Linked DNA regions of Medicago truncatula. Each later gene encodes a partner of the first gene's protein in a complex. Links are inferred from orthologs where the notes say so. Each region holds a gene or a part of one and is shown on either strand. Other genes may lie near its edges. The genes, in order: trafficking protein particle complex II-specific subunit 130 homolog and trafficking protein particle complex II-specific subunit 120 homolog.

Region 1 (7,155 bases):
CAAATATCAACAATTATGCAGTTAAACTAGACATATTGGAATGAATGAGAAGGAAAAGTATGAAAAACCACTCTTTTTTTACTCGTGATTGGTCAGTATTTCTGGGGAGAATCACTTCTTACAGTTTCTACTTTTTTCTTCCATCTAATTCAACATCAAATTCTCAACCATTCACATGAATTATTAACAGTTGAAGGGTTGATCCAACAATATCTATCTGACAGTCCTTCATGTTAAGCGAAGGACACAATAATGGAAGAATGGTCCACAGAAAGCAACACTAAGACCAACCCATAAAACTAAACTTACAGTCTTCATTGCAGATTATTCTGCACGTGTGTGTGGTCTCTGTTTTGTTAATGTACTTTGGCACCAGTTAGCTGTTAGAGCTAGTTAGACATGTGTACCAGTCTCTGTTTTGTTGATATATTTCTGCAAGTGATATAATTGTGATAGAGCTGTTGCAGTTAGCTTTAATCTGTTACAGACTGTCAGTTACAGCTCTGTTAGAGCAGAATTAACAGAGACTGGTACATGAGGTTAATAGATCACTTTCTCATAGTTCATATAACTTTCGTCCATGAGGTGTCAGCTTTGTGGTAAGATATTGACCTTATAGCCTCAACGACGGAGTTCAAATCCCATGTTGAAAAGCTGTAAAATGGCCAATAATGCCACTTTAATTAATGATAATTTGCCCTTCTCCAAAATAAAATTATAAAAAATATCACTTTCTCAGAGATTATCTCGGGTTTTTCTCTCCTAATATTTTTTGTAAATTATATTCAATTTTCAAGAAACCACTTTCAATTAACTATTGCCACATCAAGTCACAATATTGAGAACAGTGTGCAATTAAATGATTTATTTTTTATTTTTTTTGACAAAAGTGTGCAACTAAATGATTGTTAAGATTGTTATACAATGCTGTATTCTTGTTCAAAAGAAAAATACATTGACTGTATTCTGTAATGTCTAAAATAAACTTGAGTCGAGAAAAACATTTGGATAAATTGTCAACCAACAAGTCATTCCCTTGCAAGTTTACCTTTCTCTTTTTCTGGAGCTAAACTCAACTTCAAGTTTAGCATATACTTTCTTTGCCATTTTGTTTGCCTGATCATTAGCTGGATGAGCTTTAGATACAAATACAATAAACCATTCCCTTTCATCATTCTGGACAATTAATTTCAGGCGTGGTTTAAGGATGCTTTTAAACTCATCAAGATCCTGGTAAGAGAAAATAAGAGTTACACTACATAATAAATTCTGCAACAGAAACAATGAAAAGTTTATGAACCAAAATTTATTGAATGAAACAATTTTAAATTGAATAGTTGATAATTTAGATTATTTCCTGAATGGTCTAAAGTTCAGCATAGAACTATGACCAGAAATATGACAATTGACAGTAATTATCATGTCTGTAAATACTGCAAAATTGAGGTTTCCCCTTATATATGAATGCCCCCACCCCCACCCACCCACACACCTTAAAGCTCTTCATATTTAAAGCTTGGACAAAGCATAACACCCTATCCCATTACCTTGTGCTGAACACGCTAAGCAAGAAACGGGACTTCCTTAAAGTTGAAAGGCTCGGCCCTAGCCCAAGAATGTGTAGGTAATAGAGATACTAATAAACTGGGCGAAGATCTTTTCAAATTCTATCTATCAAAATGCAATTAAATGATGTTATGAAATGTAGTAATGTACTGCAATGCAATTACACTTAATTCATCAACACCATGAAATTCATTCTTTCCGCTTTGCATGTTATTTATTTGAATCTAACTCCACTGAAGTTAGCTTAGCTATCACTTTAAAGGGTGAATCCAAGGAATCTCAACCGTTGATGACAAAATCAACGGTTCAAATTTTTAATACATCTATGATTTGTTATGTATATTGGTATATCCATGATTTTCACATCAATGGTTGAGTTTTTTTTTACTTTACCTACCGAAATGAATTACATTGTAGCAGAAAGCTATAAACTGTGTCAAAAGTCATAGTGGATCTCCCTAATCTAACCTTGGAAGTCATCAAAACATTACAACTTTCAGCAAGAATCCAAAAAAAGTAATCAACAGGAATACGCATTACCTCACAGGTAACAAGCACAACAGTTGCATACGGCTCTCGAAACCAGAACAACAACTGCTCCTGAGGAAACCGACTACGGAGCCTTGAATCTGTAGTTAATATGAACTCTGCCGGCAACTTGTCAACCAAAACAGGGTTCCTCGTCTTGTTATTCAAACTCGCCCTTTTAAACGGCAACCGCGCTTCAAAAGCAGGTTTTACAGTCGGCCACAAGTCACTCACGTCCTCCACTGATAATCATTTCCATCAAGCATCAATAAAATAACAGAGACACACTCACAAAAACACACACACAAACACATCTAAATCACCGACAATTATAGTAGCATATGTAATACTGACACTTCAGATTGAAAACGTGTCCAACAAATGTTGGTGTTCAACACCTACACTACACTGATACATTTAGTTACTTTCAATCACTTCAATTCCTAAATTATCATGTGGCAGTGTTGCATCCGTCCATGTATGCGACAATGCTTCGTGTAGTTAACCAAATTCATTCAGTAAAACAGTGATTGCCTTCAATTAATCCATTTTATCGAATTATTACCAGTGTTCATGTTACATAATTAAAAGAATACGCTATCTCGATTTCCAAGCATTTGATGAACAAAAATACATTGAAATTCTAGCATTACTCAGTATAACAGTTGAAATGATTATACATATTATCTATCACATAGCAAGAAGAATATATAAAAGTATAATTGAATTAAACTAAAAGCCCTAAATAACATACATAAATTGGTAATCGAGAGATAGATAGATCGTAAAGGAGAGGAAATGAAGATTTGTATGATCGGGAAAAGGAATGTGATGAGATCTTTGAGTAGTACCTGAAATGACGAGGCGATCGGAAGAGTTTTTAATGGTTTGGAACTGAGCGAGGAAGTTAGCCATGTTGGATCTGAAGAGTATCTAGATCCAACATGTGCAGTGAAGTGAGAGTTAGTTGAGAAAAAGAAGATGTTACTTCCCGCAGATCCAGTTAGTGTTTCGCGGTGTATGTAATGTATCACACTCACTCCACGATCCAACGCTACTTCGTTTCATAACTCTCTCTTGCCGTAGCCGTCAATATCATGGAGCTTTCTTTTTTTTTACTTTTCACTATGGTTATAAAGTCCTTTAAAATGGATTAAACCAGTAATCATTTTGTCTACGAAACATTTTTTCAATCAAATGGTTAATGAGCTTCGTCAAAAAACAATTAGTTAAGAAAAAAAAAATCGAGTTTAATTTGGTTAATTATACTTACCTAATAATTGAACTTTATTATTATGGTTCTCTTCTGCTGAGAATCAGAAGGTTAACACCAAAAAAATATATACTATAGTTATAGTTTTAAAACTATCAAAATTATAAAAACATCACTATGTATGTCTTATGTTAATAATATATTAACGTGACGATACTCGCTCATAACAATATTATAGTGTCTTTTATCAGTCATTTCATAGGCTTTTAGATGGGTTTATTTTAGTTGAGTTTTATAATAATTGAAGAAATGATCATGAAAGGAGAAAAGTGCAAAGAAGACCTTGAAACTAGCTCAAATTCACCCTAACCATACAACTTTATGATCTTATAATGTTTTTTACGGTGATGAAAAGTGGACAAGGAATGAAGAAAGACATAAGAACTAAGTGCTATTAAATATGTGATATTGCATGAGGAAGAGGAAGTCAACGCGTTGCACAAAGAGGCATACATAGGCCCGTTTTTGAATCACTGAGATTCGAAAATTTATAAAAGGCATCAAGTAACACTTCCAAAGGGGTCGATTTTGGATTTCTTGAAGGTTGGAGCATATTGAATATACCGGGAACAAGACTTCATCTTTTGGATCATCACTTATTCCTGTATTGTTCTTCGTAGACTCACGGTCTATGTTTAGATTTATCATGAGTGGTTAATTCATAGATTAGGCCAAGAGGGCATCTTTGTTGTAGTTGCTTGAACCATGTAATCCTTTAGGACCTTTTTTTGCAATTACAATGATTAGTTTTTATTTAGTTAATATTTATTTTTAATTTTTTTTTTTTTTTTATGTATACGGATATTTATGAATTGATCTAAATGCCCTATTATGTTTAGATAAACGGCTTATTTTATTCTTAGAATATATGAATGTTTTGAGAGGTTACAATACGTATCAGGTGTGAAATCATGTATCAACCGTAAAATCATGTTATGTTTCATAAAGTTTAGCACAATCTTAGGGGGGGGTTCTTAAGACTTATCCTCAAATTGTTTATATATCTCAAAAATAAATAAATAAATGTTAATCTAAATGTACATGTATGCCATCATCGAAAATAGGGGGAGATTTTTACTGAGTCACAAATCCTCGTGAAGCTCATACTTTGATGAATAATGTTTTTAATTTTTGAAGAAGATTTTCCTCTGAACCATCAAATTCAAATGAAGATAAAAATTGGCAAAAGATATGTGAGATGTGAGGTATCAAGCTAAACTATAGCTGTCAAATGGGCTTATTTGATGCGGAAACAAGGTGATTTCCTTGTATGGCACCTGAGACATAATATTGTGTTGCGTAATGTTTTGAGATTAGGTCGGCATCTCAAACACACTCGCTTATGTTCCCGTTATTAAGTATGTTTGCTCCTTTTTGAATGGGTTTTATTGTTCTACAATCCATGGAAGGTTGGGCCTTTTAAACATATACCATTATGGTAAGAAGTGAATGAATCTTGATTTTCCTTTATTGTTTAGACGATCCATGGAGTTGTTAGGCCGAGCTCTTAGACACATACCGTTAACGAATTTTGATTTTGCTCGATTGTTAGACGATTCATGGAATAGTTCGACTGAGCCTTTTAATCACCTACCATTATAGGTAAGAAGTGAATGAATCCTGGTTTCCTTCAAGTTGGCTATAGGTGGGGAACTAAACTAACGTTCTAATGGTATTGTCGTCGACAATTTATTTGGAGGATTAACACCATTATCCTCTACAATGCTCATCATGTTCCCCTCCCTCGACCGAGTAACCTCGGGCGTGGTCTTATTATACTCACAAATGGGCCTACGGGTATACTACGTTAAGTCGAGTATGTGATTTATAGATATACATGTTTTAAACACATTCTATAGTTTTTTTAGAGACATATTTTATGCTGTTGATAAATACGTTATTTATAAAATGAAAATTTTTGAAAAATTATTTTTGAGAAATTTCCATTGAACTTCGTTATGACAGCAACAAAATCTTATACTGTCTTCTTTTTAACAAATATATAAGATTCTTTAAAGAACCCAAAAAAATAATAAGATTCTTAAAAGAGGACATAAATATTTGTGGTAGAGTATCTTCTCAGGCAATTTTAGCAGACTTTATCTACATGTATTAATTTTAATTTTAATTTTTATGATACCCAACTGATCTACATGTTTCATGTGGACACCATTTATCTTCGTCCATGTTCTCCATGTACGGCGTCTCACCGTATCAAGCTACACCTCTCCCACACAACAACCAATCGCATCATTAGTCAAACCCAAAATTAGAGGTGTTTGGATTGACATTAGACAAAACTGTCAAAATATCATCATATTTAAAGATAAAAAAAATTATAGAGAAATAATATTTGAACATTCGTTTTGTGATAACTATATTTCTCATATTCACATTATTTTTTTATTTTATCTCTTTATTGCTTTGAGTTTCGTGCAAATATCTATATTTTCTTTGTAAACTATGGTTGTCGTATAAGTTGTTAGTCAAATGGTTGTTCAAATAACACTAATCAAAATCATACGTGGTTTATTTTGATTTGTTTGGATGCTTCTTTAAAAAATTTCATCCGATCCAATTTTATATAGTTTTCTTTTACATACGGTTTAATCTAAATCAATATTTTTAACATCATAATTACATAATTGTAATTTTTTATTAATTAATATAAATTATAAATATATGATAAATTTAACATGTACGGTAATATATTATTAACAATTAACACGGTGGAATAATAATGTGAAAATTTTCTCTATTTTTTCCGATATTTTCTTAATCTATGTTGCTATAATGTTTTTTAAATTAAAAATATATAATTCATAAATGTTAATTTATCATGTTTTTTTTCAAAAAATATGAAAGATTTCTCTATTATTTTCAATATTTCCCACCTCTTAAACCCTCTTTTCCTCCTCTCTAAACTCCAAAATAAAGCCTTAAAAAAACCTAAAAAATAGTAGATTACTCCCCTAAAAAATACTAGATTTTTTTTTTGTCTGAAGTGATGAACTATACATAAAACTCACAATTACCACAAATGTGAGATTAAATATATCATACTAATAAAATATAAATGAGTTTTTTTTTTTTTAAAGGGAAAATATAAATGAGTCTTAAAATATGTATATTTGGTTTAATCCAGCTTTAAAAATAGTCTAGACTTCAATCTAATCCGAACAATTTTTACAAAAGAAAAATTTAAACATATTCCGTGAAAATAATTATTGAACATACTTTATTTATTTTATTTACTTTTTGATCAAACGTTGAATTGTTAGAATCATTTCCTCTAAAAATGTAAGAATTAAAAAAAAAAAAAAACTCAATTTTTGCTGTTTATCAGTTTTTTTAGATGATTTGACGTTTTAATCTGATTAAATTTTTTTGCATGCTATATTTCTATTTTTATCTCCTTCTCCTTTAACGTAGATTAGTTAAAACTTTAAAATATGATCGCCCGGTATACTGCTACATCTATCTCTCTGGAGCCACACAAAAAGTCATAGGATGCGAGACACAAGATCACGAAACCGCTATAAACTAACGAACGCGTTTCTATGTAAGCTCACCCAACTCAAAGAAGACGAAACTCAGTGACTCGGGAAGCTAGAACTCACCAACTCACTTCAATGGCTTCCGTTCACAGCACAGTACCTCACCACACTTTCCTCCCTTCAATTTCCAAACCAAAATCAAAATCAAAATCCATTTCCAAGCCACAAAACTTTCCAGCATCAAGATTCTCCACTAATCCAAATTTCACAAAACGTGCAGTTGTAGCGACG
Region 2 (7,598 bases), on another chromosome or scaffold:
AGAGAAACTAGTAAAATGGCCTCAGAGAGAAAGAAAGAGAGACAATCATAATTCAAAAAGAAGAATGAAGAACTGGATTACTGATCCCAGAATACTATATAATCATAGCAAGGAAATTGGTTTATGTAGTAAACTTAAGATAACAAACAGATGAGAATATTACTGGCACTAACTAAAAATTTAACAGACGGGCCGTTGGGGCATTTTGCCATCCAGAGATAAAGATCTTTTGCCTTCCTGCACTGAATTTCACATACACAGAAGGTAGATATAAGATAGTTATCCAAATGTTACAAATAGACTAGACTTGCTCGAGATTAAGAATGGTAACTCAAACTCGAGATTAAATGGAAAATGTTGTCTCAGTCGACAGATTTAAAACAAGTAAACTTTGTAAATACAGAGAAAGCCAATTTGGGAGGGGAAAGAAAAGAGTGAAATTCTCTACACTTTAAAATTCTTAATGGATAAAACAAAAATCTATAAGACACAATAATCAGATGTGTAATCCATCACATAAAGGAAATAGATTATATCAATTCGAAACTAACCAACAACAACATATTACATTACATCTAAATATCAACATAGACATCAACATTTGTAACAAAATGGAATAATTCTTGACACCAACAAACAGTGAATTTTCTAACTCAACAACAACATAGCATAGCTCATAAACATAATGCATAGTTTTCATTGAAAAACCTTAATGTCATAAAAAATAAAAAATAAATAATACCTCAAAAAATAAACATGAAGAACAGTTTTTGAGCTCAACAAGCTCGTTCAAGGTGGCGCCTTTAGTTTCTTTCGATTCAACCTTGTTATCCTTTTTGCAATGAGGTAGAAGTGATACCAAGTTCAACATCAAATGTCGGTACCTATAATAAGTTTATGATCAATACCATATTAAAAAACTAGTAACCCACAATAAAAGGAAGAAGTTTTTTTGTGCTTAATTTCACACACAAAGGACTTGTTTGGATTGCATTATTTAAATTTATCTACTGGAAATTGGGATAAACACTTGTGAGACTGTTTGGGACAACTTCTAGAAACAACATATGAAATGTCCACAAACTGTTTTCAGCATCTTCCATAAGCTCTTCAAGATAGTTTATGAATACAACTTATAACTTACATCAAAACCATTTGACATTAATTTAATTTTTGTTGCAGAAATAACTTATAAATAAGCACTTACAAGATAAACCCTTACAGCATAATAACTTAACTAAGTTGTTAGCCAAACATACCCAAAATAAACAAATCCGAAATCAAAACAAGCACAAACTGCGTGATAACAGCAAAATATATTTGGGTTTTGAGATTTACACCTGTAAACAATACGCCTAGAGCAAGTAACCAAAACTTTCTCTTTGTTCCTGAATACAGGTGAAGCACCGTTGTCCTTAACCTCAGCTTCATTCTCATTCTTATCCTTCCATCCCAAAAGGGTCCTCACTGGTCTCTCTGGAGCAACATCTTCCTTTTTGGGCACAGCCACAGCTTCAGCCTTTTCACTTCGCTTTCTCTTCCCCATGTTATTTGGCTACAAATCAATCACATAATATAAATTAAATCATTTAATTCATATACGCCGTTAGTGTAAAAAGTTGTTACATTGTCAATCAATCGTAGCTGATAGAACATTCCAAAAGTTTGATGTTTATCATAATCACTTCAAAAGTCACAAACATTATTGGTTGTTTGAGATAGTAACAGTACAAAACAGTGAATAAAAATTAAACTTTGGGCCATTTGGATTGGCTTATTTTAGCTTATCTATTTGCATAAGTTTTGTGAGACTGTTTAGGAGAACTTATGAAACCAACTTATGACGTATTCATAAGCCGTTTTCAGCTTATTTTCATAAGTTCTCCAAGTTAACTTATTAAAACAGCTTATAGCTTATACAAAGACAATTAACTTAATCTCATCATTTTCCATAGAAATAGCTTACACGTAGCTGCAAATAAGCTGTTTATCCAAATGGGGTCCTATCTTATATTAAAACTAATAATACATGATCCATTTTACTACAAAATGAAATTTTGTCAATGACCCATTTGCCATTTTGGTTCAAAATAATATTTTGACAGTGACCCATTTGATTTCTTCAGTTAAGATAACAAAAACAGATACATACATACAGTAATAATGGTGGAAGCAGAACAATAAAAGCATGCACGATGACAATTAAACGAAATAAGAGAGAAAACGGATATAGAGAGAAGGAAGGTACCTAGGTGATTGCAGAGGAAGGAGGTGAAGGTGGATAATCGCCGGCTATGGATGGAGGTTTTGGTGGCTGTGAAAAACGAAAGGAAAGGGTTTTAGACCTATTATGAAAGCCCACTTCTAGTTTTTTTTCTTCTAGAATTTTGAAGGTTTGAATATCATATTTTTTGTGGTAAATCATTATGATATTTTTTTCTTTTGATAATTTGTTTTACTTTTTACAAAATTTATATTTGATTTTTATTTATATGCATTAAATTTGTTGGATAATTTATTATGTTGGATTTTATTGACTTTTAAGGTTTCTTTAAAAATTCTTTAACAATCAAGGTTTTTTAGTTTGTATTTGAATGGTGGATTAATAACATAAATTTTTGGATTTCAAAATGTTTTATTTATGAATTAAAGATTAAGGGTTTAAATTTTAACCAGGAGAAAAATATTACATAACAATTAATATTTCATCATTTAACGGTAAAAAATGTCACGTAAACTCAATTTACACACAAAAAATACATAAGTACTAAGTAAACTCGGTTTACATAAGTTACGTCAATTAAGTTTGTGAGCGCTGAAATGATTTGAGATGTACCCAAAACGTGAGGAACAAGTGCAAGATTTTGATTACATTGAAAATTTTATTTCATTTTAAAAATATTTTATTGAGGTATGAATAGTAATTATCTTTGTTCTAGTCGTTTTAAAGGAGAAACAAGGTCGATTTTTTTTTCATTTGAATGAGAAAAAAAAAATATTAAAACACGATTTTTTCCTAGAAAATTAAACAATTAAAAGAGTACATCGAATAACATTGGAATTGTAAAATAAAAAATTACTCATGGATTTCAATAGATTCAGTATTTTTAAAATTTTAAAATACTTTGCGGGTTTTTAAAATTTAAAGGAACACATATGGTTGGACATTTGATTAAAGAGTAACATAAAATTGATTCCTCGTAAATTTGTACAATAAATATGAAATAATTTATCTCTCGTATTATTTTGTCAAATACATCATTCTATAATTATTTTAGTTTGTAAATTTTCACGTTCGTTATCCGTTAACATTTTAAAGAGTTGAAGTGGGTAGTGATGTGAGATTTGAAGCTACCAAATTCACAATAATTGGCGCCCACTGCAGGGTAAGGGGATAAGTTTGTCAAGTGATCAATATGATCACCAAAGATTACATCTTGAAGGTGGAGACAAACATGGATCAACGAAAGTGTATGGAGGCATTTAAAGGTAAGGCGGTGTTGTCGGTCAACCTAGCACAATCAAAGAAGGTTAAGTACTTAAGTGGAAGATAGGATGTCATGACGGTGATGTCATGGCGGTAATGTTTGTTTCCAAAGGTCATGTTCCGTCTAGAGAGGCGGAGGTAGTAGTGCTCGTGTTCAACTTTAGAGGTGGATTTGCGAGGTGAAAGACATAGTGGAAGTACTCATTTGAAAGTTAAGATAAAAAAATCTCAGCTTAAGGTGGAGCTGATAACAGTGGAATGTTACAACTAAGAAGACTTTTGTGTTATGCTCTAATTGCGAGCAATGAAATTCTTCAAGATGACGGAATTGATCACACAGGAGAGCTGAAGAGGTTATGGTGTAAACATGTGGAACTGCCTAAAATTTCTAGTGTAGTTGGATGCAAGAATCTCTGAGAGTGCGAAATACAATATGAGGTAAAGGTGGAAACTTGTGGGACTATAAAGTGTAGTTAGATGCAAGGAGAAAAATCAAACTTGGGAGTTTGTCGAACAACCAAGAGTGGTTGTATGCACGTGAAAGTCCACGTGTGAATCAAGGTTCAAACGAGGATTTAGACTTTATTGCTTTTGTCTCGAATATCATTCAACGCAAGGTTAAAGAGCAAGTTGGTTAATAGTTAAATTGACATAACTATAACTTTAGGTCAATTGGATAATTATCGAGTTTTGACTCAAAATTTGATGTTTATGTTTAAGCAAAATTGCGGCACAAGGCCTCAAGATCGTGGCACGATTTTAGTTCTCAAGTTTGGAGTGTATCTTTGAAAATACTGTGGCACGTGAATTGTTGTGAATCGTCAAACAATTCGTTATTTGGTGAAACTCATTTTTGTTTTGACGTATTTTATGAACGTGAATAAATGAATATTTTATTTTGTAAAAAAAAAAAAAAGGAGATCTAGTTTGTATATGCCGGTGAGTGCGAGTGCAGTAAGAAAGACCAAAGTAACTAACCACTCCGGCGATCACGCAGAATGGAACCAGAAGTAAGCATAGAAGGCTCTTCAACAATCCAAATCGCCGTAATCCCAATAGGACAAATCCCACCACCACTCCTCCGCGACTATTACTCCCTCCTCCTCCCACTCCACACCATCCCTCTCTCCGCCATCAGCTCTTTCTACACCGAACACCAGAAATCCCCTTTCGCTCATCAACCTTGGGATTCCGGTTCTCTTCGCTTCAAATTCGTACTTGGCGGCGCTACTCCTAGTCCCTGGGAAGATTTTCAATCGCATCGGAAAACTCTTGCTGTTGTTGGCATTGTTCATTGTCCTTCTTCGTTGGATCTTAATGATGTTGTTGATCAGTTTGCCAGTTCGTGTAAATCTTATCCTTCTTCGCTTGTTGATCGTTGCTTTGCGTTTTACCCTAATGATTCTCAGGTAGTCACATTTTTTATTTGCATTTCAACTTTTTTTTGGTGATTAATTTCCCTAAGAAATGGATCCATAAAAGGAAATATTTCTTATAATTCTTATTTAATTTTTTATTTTTAGAAATTTCCGTTAGAAATTGTTATAATTAGAAACTTTATTAGGCTCACTTTGGTAAACAATAGCAAATAAGTGACGACTTTACTGATAAGCTAGCTGATTGCTGATAGAAAAATGCAGATTTAATTTTTATTTTATAAATTTAAAAATTCCGAACTTGAATCTGGGCCATTCGATCGAGTAAGACAGCTACTGGGCACACTAACTATGTGAATGTGGTGTTTCCCTTATTGAGGGTATGCTCGATCCTAGCGAATATGATAGCTGATTGAATATGTAATGTTAGGTAAAATTAGCGATCGAATTGACTTATAAACATGAAATGACATAAAATATATATCTTTAATTTATATTAATTTCTTTTAATTAAGGTGGCAGATGTAAAACCGAGCGAAAAATGATAAGTCATAGGTTTTAAGCTTTAAGCTACTTGAGTAAGCTTGACAAAAAAAGCTATAAGCTGCCGAGAAGATGAAGATTACCAAATGGGTGTATTTTAGTTATGTGAGCTTATAAGCTAGTAAAAATAAGTTATAAGCTCATGAAAAAAAGACGGTTACCAAATGAGTCTTTTTTAGTCATATGAGCTTATAAGCTTTAAATTGTAAGCTAGCTTATTGTGCTTGTCAAGCAGATCCTTGTAGGTTTTGTTTATTTATTGTTTTGTTTTTTGTTGTAGCTTGAGGATGGAAGTAAGAGAGGTGGAAATTTGAGGTTGTTTCCACCTGCGGATCGTGCAACGTTAGAGTTTCATTTGAATACTATGATGCAAGAAGTAGCTGCTTCGTTGCTAATGGAGTTTGAGAAGTGGGTACTTCAAGCAGAATCTTCTGGAACTATTCTCAAGACACCTTTGGATTCTCAAGCTAGTCTCAGCTCAGAGGAGGTGTTCATGTTTTAGGTGTCATGAATCATGATTATTATTGTTGTTTTTATTTTTATATCTTGGCGGTGTTATGTGTTATAATGTGGATTTTGATTTTTGGTTTTGTGTTCTTGGCTCTGTTTGGATAAACAGCTCAATTAAGAGCTGATAGTATAATAGCTTATCATCTACGTACTTATGCATAAGCTATTTCCATAACAGAAGATAAAATAATTTCAAATTGTTTTAATATAAGCTGTTTTCATAAGCCATTTTGAAGAGCTTCTAAAAATAAGCTTAAAACAAATTATGGACATGCCATAAGGTGTTTTTTATAAGTTGTTCCAAACAGTCTCTCAAATTCTTATGTTGATATGTTCAGCTCAAATAAGCCAAGTCAAACAGGCCTTGTTGTGAAGTTCAATTTGATTGATCTTTTGTGTGTTTGTGTGGAATGCAGGTTATCAAGGCCAAAAAACGGAGACTTGGGCGTGCTCAGAAGACGATTGGTGATTACTGCTTGCTGGCAGGTTCTCCTGTTGATGCTAATCTTCATTATTCTACTGCATTAGAACTTGGCAGGTTGACTGGGGATTACTTCTGGTATGCTGGTGCATTGGAGGGCAGTGTTTGTGCCTTGCTGGTATTTTTTTTTCCTCTTCTTTTCATGCTTTCATTCTGAGTTAGATTTAAAATTGAATAGTGTTTTTTAAAAAAAAAATAATAATTAAAGATTGTGGACTGTATGGCTAGGCAATCCACATGCGTTGTGTTTTTCATTGGAACCGGTGAAGTAATGTGAGGGTACATAAAAAATTCTCTTCATTATGGGTTTTGTGAACCCTATCTCTGATTGCATCCAAAGTGTGTGTTTGGTTTGGATTCATGGTAGAGAGTTTTTTTTCCTCTATTGTCAAATGTGGTTTTAGTAAATATCCAGATCTGTGGTGTGGTTACTCACAATCAAGATTGGTCTTGCTTGCAAACTTTGGTCAAACTCAAATTTGACTAAATCAGTTTTATAAAATTATGTTCATTCTAAACCACGATTGTAAAATCCTTACCCAAATATAACACTAAACACTGCTTTTGTGTGGTGATTAGTTTTGCATTTTGAAAATGGAAGGGATTGAGACATGCAGCCGTAGTGGTTTTTTATGTGTCTACTGTTAACTGCTTTTTCAAGTGCTTAATTGTTTTTTTATTTGCAGACAACGTATGAACAATTACTTACTTTGTATATAATTTATTCAGAAAGCATGAACTAGCAGACTAGAGTATCGACAATTTAAGGCTCCAATGTCTAAAATCTTTATCATCTAATTTGTGCTCCAATTAAGCTAGATTCTGGTTCTTAGAAGGGAAAGAAGATATGTTCATACGGCTCTCAAATGAATCTTGTCTTCGTTTTTACTCAAGAATTCAAGGGCATGAGGTTTAGGCGGAAATTAGTTGACTTGGAAATGCTGCATGTCATAAATAATTTGGTTATTGATTCAATTTATAGACAGTTTTCTGGCATTGCATGGTATCTGCAGTATAAATATTGTAGTATATTTCTATAAATTGAGAGTAGTGAGAGGCAGTGCACATGGCATAGGAGTATAGATATGTCATATGACGACCATGATTGTCCTGTAAAATGAACACGCTCTTGTCTACATTCACATTTAGTGTTATTTATTTCTTTTCATTTTTTTGGTTTCAGATTGACCGTATGGGCCAG

Evidence for each region.
Region 2: trafficking protein particle complex II-specific subunit 130 homolog (region 1) and trafficking protein particle complex II-specific subunit 120 homolog share a complex: the UniProt entries of both Arabidopsis thaliana proteins name them as parts of the multisubunit TRAPP (transport protein particle) II complex. The link is inferred for Medicago truncatula from reciprocal best matches to the Arabidopsis thaliana genes CLUB and TRS120.

What each region holds. Positions count from the first base shown.
Region 1 is NC_053043.1:39,890,570-39,897,724, reverse strand, and holds the start of trafficking protein particle complex II-specific subunit 130 homolog, read right to left. Parts: upstream 3,190-7,155; 5' UTR 3,010-3,189; coding exon 2,946-3,009; intron 2,337-2,945; coding exon 2,107-2,336; intron 1,231-2,106; coding exon 1,049-1,230; intron 1-1,048. Other genes in the region: uncharacterized protein, read left to right, coding at 7,000-7,155. UniProt on the Arabidopsis thaliana protein: Specific subunit of the TRAPP II complex, a highly conserved vesicle tethering complex that is required for the proper transport of proteins in post-Golgi trafficking pathways to the growing cell plate in mitotic active cells.
Region 2 is NC_053042.1:2,812,153-2,819,750, reverse strand, and holds the start of trafficking protein particle complex II-specific subunit 120 homolog, read left to right. Parts: upstream 1-4,410; 5' UTR 4,411-4,485; coding exon 4,486-4,896; intron 4,897-5,686; coding exon 5,687-5,893; intron 5,894-6,332; coding exon 6,333-6,515; intron 6,516-7,580; coding exon 7,581-7,598. Other genes in the region: ribosome biogenesis protein BRX1 homolog 2, read right to left, coding at 164-242, 743-884, 1,341-1,546. UniProt on the Arabidopsis thaliana protein: Specific subunit of the TRAPP II complex, a highly conserved vesicle tethering complex that is required for the proper transport of proteins in post-Golgi trafficking pathways to the growing cell plate in mitotic active cells.